Linked DNA regions of Cricetulus griseus. The protein of the gene in region 2 purifies or fractionates together with the protein of the main gene of each other region. This does not show direct contact. Links are inferred from orthologs where the notes say so. Each region holds a gene or a part of one and is shown on either strand. Other genes may lie near its edges. The genes, in order: Sytl4 and Rab27b.

Evidence for each region.
Region 1: the proteins of Rab27b (region 2) and Sytl4 purify together in Homo sapiens (co-immunoprecipitation; 3 studies listed by BioGRID and IntAct, counting the BioPlex papers as one, with this or other methods). This does not show direct contact. The link is inferred for Cricetulus griseus from reciprocal best matches to the Homo sapiens genes RAB27B and SYTL4.

The regions. Positions count from the first base shown.
Region 1 is NC_048604.1:46,184,855-46,191,030, reverse strand, and holds the end of Sytl4 (synaptotagmin-like protein 4), read right to left. Parts: intron 6,062-6,176; coding exon 5,962-6,061; intron 5,269-5,961; coding exon 5,060-5,268; intron 2,787-5,059; coding exon 2,638-2,786; 3' UTR 1,162-2,637; downstream 1-1,161. UniProt on the Homo sapiens protein: Modulates exocytosis of dense-core granules and secretion of hormones in the pancreas and the pituitary. Interacts with vesicles containing negatively charged phospholipids in a Ca(2+)-independent manner.
Region 2 is NC_048595.1:169,441,638-169,447,846, reverse strand, and holds the start of Rab27b (ras-related protein Rab-27B), read right to left. Parts: upstream 3,637-6,209; 5' UTR 3,334-3,636; intron 1-3,333. UniProt on the Homo sapiens protein: Small GTPase which cycles between active GTP-bound and inactive GDP-bound states. In its active state, binds to a variety of effector proteins to regulate homeostasis of late endocytic pathway, including endosomal positioning, maturation and secretion.

The DNA.
Region 1 (6,176 bases), on a different chromosome or scaffold from region 2:
GGGCAGTGGTAGTGCACGCTTTTGATCCCAGCACTCAGGAGGCAGAGGCAGGCAGATCTCAGTGAGTTAAAGACCAGCTTGGTGTACAGAGTGAGTTCCAGGACTATTACACAGAGAATCCCTGTCTCTGGGAAAAAAGAAAGAAAAAAATCCAAGTAGGGGAAAGACACAGAAGGACTCAGGGCCATAGCCAGTCCGAATGGGACTAGCATGACAAACGCCATTTAATTCCTTCCTATGCAGTTCCCTTTCCACTTCCCCTCTCCACCTGTTCTCTTCTCTTTTTGTCACTCTTCTCCCCTCCTTCTTCTCTCTCTCTCTCTCTCTCTCTCTCTCTCTCTCTCTCTCTCTCTCTCTCTCTCACACACACACACACACACACACACACACACACAGTGTTGTCACTGTGCTGGCTTAGTAATATCCAAAGCATTCTTAGTGTCCTCCTTTGCAAATTAATCCTAGTTCTCTAAGGTACTTTGGGAGAGACAAGCATAATTTTGTTTGATGATTTGTCCTTAACAGATATCACTCTCATAGAAGGCAACATGGTAGAGTCAGGCCTGGATTCAAATTCCAATTCTGTCACATAATAAGGAGCTCATCTGAGTGTTTGATCTGCAAGAAGGGAAGGTTTCCTCCTACATAAGGTGTTGGAGAGAGTCAGACAATATCATGCAAAACCTTGTATACAGGATGCATTTGACTTTTGCAACTATGCTTTTGCACAGAGGCCAAGAATCACTTGAACTGCAGCTAGAAAATCAGAGCCTTATTTCAAAGGTGAGTTGTATAGCATCTTTGATTTAGCTCTGGAATCCAAATAATAGAATAAATGAGAAAAAACCCTGACCTCTCAGAGAAACTGAATAATCTAGAAAAAAGTGCTGGTAGCCTGGAAGGTGTTCCCTCATGCCTGTGTGAATATCTCTCTCCTTCTTCTTCCAGCAAAGGACAATCTACAAAGCCAAGGGCCATCTTCTATGGGTACCTGAGAGGGAAAAAAGTAATGCTACTTTTAGATTCCAAACATATATGGGAAAAGGCAGATTTTCTTCCAGTATAGTGAGGTGCACTTATTATTCTGGTTCTGACCTTCCAGCTATGAGTGAAAGTGGCAACAATAAGTCAGGGCATCAAAGACTAAAGCATATGCAGAACTCAAAGTGTAAACACTCAAGTGATAAAGCTTTATTGAAACACACATGCATGTTGAGGTGGAATGCCAAAGAACAAGTATGAGCCAGGACTCTTGAGTTACACTTCCATTACAGTACCAATCCATACTGAAGGGATCTTTGAAAAACATTCTATACAATCAACACATATGATCTTAACCACCCCAGCTGCATGCAATCCAGGGACCTTACAGGAAAAGTCAATTCGCAGCTGGCTCCATTGACAGGATTTCTCCTCGGGCACAGACACCATCCACACACACACACACCTCTGTATAGACAGACTGCTATGACTGAAAAGTCCAGTCTAGAAGAGTGACTAGCAGGAAATGAAAGCTTTCTTGGTCTCTCTTTTAAATCTCAACACATTATTCCCCTGTTACCCATAGGTCAAGTTCAGAAACAACCAAAAACAGGAACTGAAAAATATATTAGGTCGAAAGTCAGAATAGCTGGGCGATTCCATCCACATTTTTTACGGGGTGGTATTAAGCCCCAGGCCAGGGGAGCACTGTAAGGTTTAGACTGGCTGAAACAGAAGTATAAAGACTATGTTCTATGTAGCAGCACACCCTAGACACAAACTTAGAGAAAGCTATAGTACATGAGAGTGAAGATGTCTCATCTTCCATTAGGGAAATAAGGAAATGCCTCTTCAACAAGTGCTGTAACAGCTAAAAAGAGAGAACTCAGCATGGACTGAGAAAAACTTTATTCAGAGTCACTTAGACCTTCTGAGATCAGCTAGTAGGTCTCACAGGGCATGTTAATGTCTCAGTGAAAAGGCCATTATCTAATTGAAGTGATTTTTCTAAAATGACTCCATTATAAGGGCTCCCCAAAGGTCTAGGAAGGAGCTGGGGAATTTTCACTGCATTTCAAAGAAAACCACTATACTCACGCAAGGTGGAAATTGCCTAAAAACAAGAAAAACTAAAAAGCAAGTTCTAAAAATATATCAAAGTAGATGATGACATAAAATACAAACTGGAGAGGAAGGACTGGTTATAAATCCCTCTCCCATAGTGGACTGTCTTTAACAACCAAACCTTGCTTCCAAGAGTCTTGGCCTTTGATCTAGACCTACAAACTAGAACTACTGACAAAATCAGCCATACTTCCAGGGAAAGTGGGAACAATAATAGCAAGATAGAAGGTAGAGAGTTGCTGTAAAGGGTTTCTAAACTTAATTAAACCACAGAAAGGTAGAGGCAACTATGTACTCTGAAAATATACTAGACTATAGATAAATAAAACCATTTGAAAAGACCCTTATTCTTGGGCTGCTTTAAAGGGAGGAACACATCTGTGTCACACTAGCTAGCAAAATAAGATCTGCAGAAATATATGTTAATACAAATGCATGCACACACATTAAATTAGCAATCTCTCCTTGTGGTTGCTTAGCTTCCTTTGACTTGGACTGACCAGGGTTGCACCTGCAAATAAAGATAGGGATTCATACACCCAGGTTCTGTTTGACCATTGAAGAACGTAGCTGCAGAGTTCCTTCTGCCCAAGACCCTGGGTACTGTTGCATCTTCTGCCACAGGCTCACTTCTTCACCAGTCGAATCCATCCAGTCCACCACTTCGCCATTACTGATCCCTGAGGAGAAACACCAGAGGAGGCTGAACAGAGTCCTACCACTAGCCCATCAGGGAGGATGGGTTATATAGTGAAGAAGGTCAGCCCAGAAACAACAATGTACAGTGAAGACAGAATGCTGTGGACAGCAAGCTGGCAAGCTGAGTCTACAAATACTTGTGCCCCAGAGATAATCAGGAGACTGAAGGTTGATGAAATGGGACTTGAAATGGCATAATGTCAATTGGGGCTTATTTTTAGTGGCTTTTTCAGAGCTCTGGTGTCTGACACCCCATGCGAGAACTGCTACCCTTCTGTCATTAGCAATTTAACTTAATTTTTTAGAGAATAGTTTATTGCATATACAGTAAAAAGGCAATGGACTGGTTAATAACTAGAGTACACATAAGGCCTTAACATTTTTCAAATTCTCTCTTTTTATGTTATTAGAGACAGGATTTCACACTGGAATCCTGGCTGACCTTGAACTTGTGGCAATCTTCCTGCCTCTGCCTGCCAAGTGCTGAGTCCAGAGGCATGCATAACCATGCCCAAGCTCTGAATACTTTTTTCTATAGCTGTAAATACTGGGACCAAAGTTAGGATTATGTGATCTTACTCCTTACTTTTTTGTATAGTAATTCATTCATTCAATGAACATTTCCTGAGTGCCTACCCTATGCCAGTTTGTGGAAGCAGTGATGAACACACCAAAAAATGTCCCTGCCCTTAGGCAGCTTACATGTGAATAGGAAAGACAATCATAAAGTCTCAATGTAGGATGTAACCTGGCATATTTGGAGAGCAAAGTAAGAATTACGGTGATTGGAACACAATGAGTGAGTGAGAAAATGATACAGGAAGAATAAGAAAGGAAGAGTCCAGATTACGTGAGGTCTGCAGACTTAATAAGAATTCCTGAGGTGGGTGAAAGCTACCAAATTATTTTACACAGGGAGCCGACATGAAGTAGCTTACATGTGCAAAAATATTAGAGATGTTTTCTGCTAGTTATTCATATATAGTTATTAATCGAGACCAAAAGAATGAATCTAGCAAATATGTCCAAGCAGAGCTGCATGGAGCTGAGGATAGCTATGAATGTGGCCCAACACAAAATAATAACTAATTAAAACAATGAAGTTCTTTTTACTTTCTGTGACTTCTTGGTAACTGGATTGCACAGTTCCTGAGTATAAATACTGTACTTGAAAATGCCATGATATCACAATGTCAAAAGGTTGGATGGGCCTGATCAATACTATAAAAAGAGGGGGAAAAAGAGCATCTAAGCCCAAGCCCAGAGATCAGCATCATTCAAAGTTTGAATACAGAAGTGCAGAATGAAGAGTCCATGAAGGAAATTTAGAAATGGTGTGTAATGGAATCACAGGGAGTCAAGAAGGCAATAAGTGGTAAGACTTTTAAGATAATGGGAGTAATCTGCTCTATTAAATAGTTCTTGGGAATTATAGAGAGAGACAAAAACCTCAGTTTGGCAGGAATAATGACTCAGAAGAGTAGAAGAATAGCAGCCATATCACAATGGACTGAGAATTGCAGGAAAGGCCAGGAAACTCTTTTTAGAGTCCTGGGGGGAGTGGCCAATGGAAGATTTACCTTTTATTTAACAAAATTAGGCCTGAGCATGTTGGTGCATATGTACTATCTGAGCACTTGAGACATAGAGGTAATAAGTAAATAAGTATCAGGAGTTTGAAGCCAATCTGGGCTCCATGAGACCCTGGAGAGAGAGAGAGAGAGAGACAGACAGAGAGAGAGAGAGACAGACAGAGAGAGAGAGAGAGAGAGAGAGAGAGGTTGGTCTCACCAGAGCACGTGTATACTCCCCTTCTATAGCCAAATCAAATGGAATCGATCATACAGAAGAAATATAGACTATAAACAAAGAACCACTGAGAAGCGAGGAGTAAGTCAGAATCCTTGGATAATAAGGATTTGCTGGCAAAGGACCCTTCTCACTACACCAAGATAGAAGATAAGAATCACAAGTCAGGGGTTTAGGTAGCTTTTAGATCTTCTTTTGTGGGAAGATGATGATGTTCCTGGCCTTCAGGGTCATCTTTCTATACATAGAATACTATATGAGTTCAGCCTTCCCTTAGGCTTAGCAGGCAGCAGGTACTCAGTAAGTACTTGTTGGATGTTTTCATAAAGGAAGAGAATTTCTGTCAGAAAAGATCTTCATATCTCATGGAAGGTAAGAGGTAGGAAGAGTAAGATAGACAAAAGGCCTTTGAGACATGTGATGATCGGATGGAAGAGAGTCTCACCAGTGCCAACACCCAGCCTGACCCCTCCCAGGAAGTCATTGCTGGCCAGGGGCTCCCGGTCCCATACAGTCAGTTCCAGGCACATGTGTTGTAGATCTTCCAGCCTCACACCATTGTAGACAAATGTATGGTTGTAGTGGGGATTCAGGGTCTTCTTCATCACAGGAGTTTTACGCTTACTGGCCTTGTTCCTCATGGGAAGGAGGTATCTGGCAGAGGGTGGGGAGTTATCAACACCTACTTAATCTGGGAATACGTCTAAATTCCCCTTGCCCCTACCACAGGCCTAGCCCAGGATGGCAAGCCAACACCCAGGTCCCAGTGCACACAAGCCCTCCTTTGAATGTGAGGATGCAGGTTCCCCACTACTTCCACTAGATTATCTACTTCCTGTAACCTGGAGAGAAAATGAATATGTTAGTCATGCTCTGGCCTATGTTCCACCAAGGATGGGTTTAAATATGTGGTTCCACTTCTCTCCCACAATTACTAATATGTGTTAGCTTAGTCAACCATGAATTCTTGGTGAGCTTAAGTCAGTAAATCATCCCCACTATAGACGAAGCTTATACTGCTTAAAAATTATGGACAACAGAGCCTTGAACCCTGAATCCAGACAGTCAGGGAGCATGGACTGTCCATCTAGAATTCAGGAAGAGGACTGGTCTGAGAAAGTCAGAACCTATCTGTCTATCACCCTCCTCTTTGAAAACTAGCACCACAGTTGAGACCAAACCAATCTCAAACCTCCAGGGGTGGAGGTTTCACTATTACCTAGTTTCAGAAACAAAGCTGCTGGGGTGGTGGGGCAAGGGCAGGATCTACAGAAGAAAATTCAATTGAGTTCCCCGCTAACTTGCTTGTCCTATAACTGGTGGTTTGATGCTGGTCCAGGGACTCACCCCTTGACAAAGCTGTCTGAAGTCCCTCCTGATTTGGCAGCAGTCAGGTTCTTGGCTTCTTTGATCCACACCTGGAGTTCTCCCCCTTCCCCACCTTTACCTGTAAGGGATGTCAGCCATTGCAAGTGAACCACCACACCACCAGGTGTGTCCTGCACTTTAACTATATAGCACTTTCCTTTCCTTGCTTTGGAATACTGCAAACTCCTTGACTG
Region 2 (6,209 bases):
AGCATCAATCTTTATATACAATTGTATACAATCACGTAGTATTAGTACCGAACATGCACAAGCATTACATATTTTAAATCTATATCTCAGGTATCTTTGGAATAGTCATAATCAACATAGTGTGAAGGATGTGTAAATAACTGTTACAGTAGATTTCCCAGGAAACCATGATGAGAAATGTCATGTACATGCTCCATACAGATGAAATTTAGCTTCAAATATTTTTATTCATTCAAAGATAGTGGAACACATGGATATAGAAGCCACTCACAAAGAGAGACAACTGTAAACATACCATATTATATTACAATAAAATATGTCTCTCCCCAAGGTTTCTCCTGACCAGTGTCATTATTTTTACCCATTACCGTGCTTTATTTAATAATATTAAGCCTTGTAGGATTATTAATTTGTTCCCATCTCTCTCTCTTCACCCTAGGATGTAATGTGTATATAGCAGTGTCCTTTTATCTTTTTAGCATCTCTTATCCTTGGTGCTTAGAAGAATATTAATGTTTATAATGCTAGGCAAAGATTTGTTGGAGAATGTTTCATAGACTATTTAGTATAGCTTTTTCTCATTCACTCATTTGAGTGAAAACCCAAAGCCTACTATTTATTAACACCTTCAAAGCTCTCTCTGACCTGACCCTTTTAGAGCTAGGGAACATCACTGGCAAATCCTAGCTCCCTAGTTGTTCAGTTTGGAATAGTCTCCAATGGTTCACTTCCTCACCTGTTCCACACAGACATTGAAATAGCTTCTCAGTATCACTTGCCCTAGCACTTATTCTGCAGCCTGGCACACCCGCCCCCACCCTGACACTACCGAAACTTACAGAATAGCTCTCTTTTGCCCTGTACTCTATTTCTCTTTAGCACCCGTGAGTCATGTGTCATTGAGGTAACCTGTTCCTCTTGTCAACTCTTTGTCCCCAGGGTTAGGGATGTCGGGAATAAATAGTAAGGTGCACAAGGTTAGGGATGTCTTCTTATTTTGTTCATGTTTGCCTACAGAGCCTGTAACAGCACTTGATGCTATTTAGAAATATTTGTCAAATACGTGAACAAGCAACTGGATATATTGTTTTCTTTTCTCAAGATATTGCACAAGTTAAAATACTGAATTTATGAAATGATTCTTTTAATCATTTATAAACCAGAAAGCTCTTACACACTAGTCCTTTGCTTATTTAAGGAGGGCTGAGGAGAGAAGCTCAACACTTGAGGGCCAGCAGTAATGACTGAAAAGGGCCTGAAACCAGCCAAGTATATAGTGCTAAGAACAGGTCCATCCAGTGATGCTGTCACTTCCTGTATCTACAGAACATCCATTCCATACCTTATACACCTAACCATGCAGAAAGCCAATCCTTTGCTAGGCATCTCTACAAATAATTCATGGCAAACATCTGGTTTGCCCTGTCTCTTTTTATTGGAACTGTTCTGCATCTCAGCATTACAAGTAATTGCTTCAGAGCTGAACTATTGGTTAACCAGCCTTGATGAATCAACATAAGAAACTAGACTCATCCTGAGATGAGCTTTAGATGAATAGCCGGTGTGCCTTCCTTGCTGTACTAGGTCAGCGTTTCTCAACCTGTGGATCACAACCTCTCTGGGGATCAAATGACCCTTTCACAGGGGTTGCCTAAGACCATTAGAAAACACAGATATCTATATTATGGTTTACAACAATAGCAAAATTGCAGGTATGAAGTATCAAAGAAAATAATTTTATAGTTGGGGGTCACTATAGCATGAGGAACTGTATTTAAGGGTTTTAGCATTCAGAAGGTTGAGAACCACTGATCTAGGTTGAAAGCCAAACTCCAACTTTGTAAGAATGGGGGAAATCAGCAGATTCCAGCTGTGAACCACATGGGACTTTGACATTCATGTTTCTAGAGGAATATTTATGAATGCCCAACCTGAAACCGGAAGACAGAAGTAATTACAATGTGGTACACCATGAGTTAAGAGGATCACTTTCTCAGGGTTACCTTCCTTATCAGGTCAAATATGCCTGTTCTATAAATGACCTATGGGTAGGGAGAACTGTGGTTTGCTTGCATTTGACATTCTTTTTATTGCCACTTGGCAAAGATGAGAACAGGCTTATCCAGTTTAATCTGAAATGTTTTGTTTTTCATTCAGGAGCAAAGATAGTAAGAGATCATGGGAGTTCATAGTCAGTCCTTAATCAGAGAGGTCTCCTTAATGTTAGACTATCTGGCAAGCAATACACTTTGTGGTGATCCGTAGAAGTTCCTGCTGGTAAGAATAGTAGGTAAGGAATTACCTTTGGAAACTCTGAAAACTTGCTATGGGAGTGGGCAGGATAGCATCCGAAAAGTACTTCTCTCCATTTTATAACTACAAACTGAACTTCACAGTACTTAAAAATCCAGTGAACTTATCTGCTTACAATAATACCGATGTCTGCCTTTGCTACATTTCGAAAGTTACAACCATTAATCAGTACATTGTATGCACATGTAAGTATGAATACCAACTAAATATTGAGAACTGTGGGTATTCACTTAAGCCTATTCAAACCAAAACCCATGTCTTTGCTATTAACCCTGAAACTACATGCAATCCATTTAAACGTGAGCCCCACAGCCTTAGTTTTAGATAACTGGCCAACACGTTACAGGTGTGCAGGCTTTGACCAAACATAGCTTTTTCCTAGGAAGGCCATCACTACTTACACCTCACCCGAGTCAATGATTTCCAGAGGCTTGCTAAGATAATGTTGCAGTGAGGAAAATCTTGAATATGGTTGTGTTGGTGCCACTGGCAGTAACACTCACTCCCCACACTCACTCCCTAGATGCAAAACTTTGATCAGAATTCGGAAGTAATGGGGCAAACGCTGGAATGGAACACAAAAAACACTCTTCACTTTCTGTGGCTGATTCATCTTAGGGAAGTGCCAAGACAAGTCCTGTCTCTTGCCTGGACAGCCTCCCTCCGTCCTTTCTCTCTGCATGTCACTCTTCTTGCTGATAATAATCGTTTTTGTTTTCTTTTTTAAAAAATACGGATGGGCATGCCTCTGTCCAGTGTTCTTGTTTGGGTTTGGTTTTTGTTCTACTCAGCTGTAGGAAAGGCACACAGCAAAGCAAAGAGGGTAGATGGAGTTTTCTGGGGCTATCTGAGCAGCAGCAGCAGCCCCAAGGGCTGGCTAGCTCAGCTTTCTGCAGGTAACAGATGGAAGGCTTCGAGCTTGGGGCCTGCACCCTCTGGGGTTCCCCTTCCCTGAAGCCCGCGGGCACCCAGAGTGGGTGGGACTGAATTCCAGCCGACAGCCCGCCTTCCCCAACTCACCAGCCCGGGAAACAGCCACAGCGAGGGCGCTGGTGTCGGGTTTCAGGGCCGCTCCTGTCTTCCCGAGCTCTGGTACCCACCAGCAGCCACTGCTCACCAGCAGCTTCACAGCGCCACTGTCATGGGCACAGCTCCCTGCGTTTGCAACCTGTGGCTCTCGATCGGTGCAACGCCAGGCAGTCCCCAACCTCTGCCTGTCCGGGCTGCGAGTGGCAGGGCTGGTAGCACCACCCGGGAGTCCGCCTAGGCGGCTGGGATCAGGAAGGTTTGTGTGAGAAGAAGGCGTGTCTCTGAGTCCTAACGCGGATGTGCCTGGCTCACCTCGGGCCAGTCTGTCTGGTGACTCAACCGCTGCAATAAGAAACACACTTGGCTGCCGCTGGATTCTCCACGCTGTGGGGGTGCATGTCCTAGCGGCCAGCTCGTTTTCATTGACTTATTTTTCTGGCTTTGCGCTGACACCTCTTTCAAAGAGCCTGAGGCAGTGTGGGGAGACCAGCTTTCATATACAGCTTGCCTACACCCGGGGGGGGGGTGGGGTGGGTGGGCAGCCTCCTAGAGCAAGGGCTTCCAGGTAGAGAGCAGAGAAAAGCATTGGATCAGACTGGGGACTGGAAGGAAACCGCATTTCTAAAGTTAGGGCACGTACATAAGAATGCACAGTCCACACCACGGGATGCTTCCTTCCTAAAGCCATTTGGGGGCTAATGGATTACTGCTAAATAAAATGATAAACACGGTCACTAAACTAGTATTTACTAAGTTCATAGTATGTGGCAAGTTCTATACTAGATAAACGCTTTGGATTTTCCCATTAAGTGAAGATCCTGTGCATTGCATTTTCGACATACTCTGACATCCCGAAATACAGACTCAAGGTAAGAATACAAGATTGAATACATCTAATGGTATTTGACGTATTCCTTCACAAATAAAATAGTTCCAAACCTGTTGCTTATACTCATGGTAGAGTTAGGAAGTTTTAATTTAACTCATCCCTGATCGATGCTTCAGAGTTTAAAGAACTGCTAAGATCTGCTAGGAAGCATTTCTTGTGGAATGCCCAAATCACAGGCCAAGCACAAAGATGTGCTTTTCTTGAAGATAAAAATAACAGGGCCGCTGGGCATTGGTGGCTCATGCCTTTAATCTCAGCATTCGGGAGGCAGAGGCAGAGGCAGGCCTCCTGTGGGTGCTTGATGGGGGGATGGCATTCTGTATATAAGTTTCTCTTATTGGTTGATGAATAAAACACTGTTTGGCCAATAGAGGCAGGAAGATAGGCGGAGCTGGGCAACAAGGAGAATTCTGGGAGAGGTAGGCAGAGAGGGTGGGCAAAGAGACATCATGTAGAGATGGAAGATAGGACACGTCAGGCCATGTAGAAATACATAGATAAGTAGTTATGAGTTAATATTTAAGACAGAGCTAGCCAATAAGAAGCCCTAGCCATCGGCCAACAGTTTTATCATTCATATAGCATCTGTGTGCTCATTTGGGGATGAAGCAGTGGAGAAGCACAAGCAACAGGTGCTGGGAACCAAAGCCTGCCCAGGTCCGCAGAAAGAGTGATAAGAGCTCATAAAAACTGAGCCAACTTCTTGAGCTCCAATATCACTTGACTCATAAACATTGTCTTGACTCTTCTACCAGAAAAAAAAAAGTTTGAAGGTAAGGATTTTAAAGGCTCTTTTGTGCCTGGGGTATGTATATGTGGCACAAATTAAACAGATAAAATTTTTGTCTCATTCTTCGAAGCAGCTCTAATGTATATGCAGATACCATTGTAATTGGGAAACTTCTAGATGAAATGGCAAATTCATCATCTGTGTTTCATCCTCCTTTCATCCTCCTCAAATTCCTTGAACATACACACACAAAACAAAATCAATTCTGAACTTCTAAAAATAAATTTTAAACCATAAAAGGAAATAAAAAAGACAAGCGACCTCACCAGATAAAATAATTTGTGATGGAATCTTTTAAAGACGTTAAACCAGTTGGAGGCAGGTATTGACTTAGAGAAGCAGTTTACAGGTGCCTGTCTGTCACAGAGTTAAGGACATAGGGTTATTAGCTCTTCTCCCCCACAAAACCCAGCAGACTGAGCGTTTTTAAGGCAGAAATACTGGCACAGACTGGTGACAAGTGGTGGAGTATTGGGTTTAGTTAGAGACACAGAATGGTTGTACCTGAAGTTCCTACCCACTGTTATGTAATCAATCAAGTTCCTTCATCCGCTTCTTCCAGCCTCCAGTCTTCCGGAGAATACAAGTAAAGTCATGAGTGGCTTACCAGGAGCTGAACACAGACCCTTTGACTCTGCTTATAGCAAGAGTGAACAGCAAAGAAATTAATCCTCCGCAAAGTAGAACAAAAGCTACATAAAATGTTGAAGAAGAGAAAAAGTGACAAAAACAATCATAGAAAGTTCTAGAAGATGAGTTCTTTGTGTGCAGAAAGGGACGGAGGAGTGAATGGAAGGAAATAATGCTTTAAGAATTCCACAAATAAAGACTATGGACTTGTGAGATTGAAGGTTCCCTTTACATTTACTCATTAATTATATATACATCATTCTGAAATAATAGTAACCCATAAACATTAAAAATGTGTTTCGAGCCATAGGCAAATCATTTACACAGGGAAAAAAACTGTGTTGAATTTCCCAATAATGATAGCAAATGTAGATGTTTCCTTGAATGCCTCATATATTTAAAAAATTAATTTATTTTGAATCTATAATTGTATGACCAAATTGATTGTTAGTCATTTAAATGATGGCATTTTCATGCACAATTTTAAAAACGGCTTCCCTGAAACAAGCCAATAAACCAGGAAGAGCAAAACTCAGAAAACTCAAGTCCAACATGAGG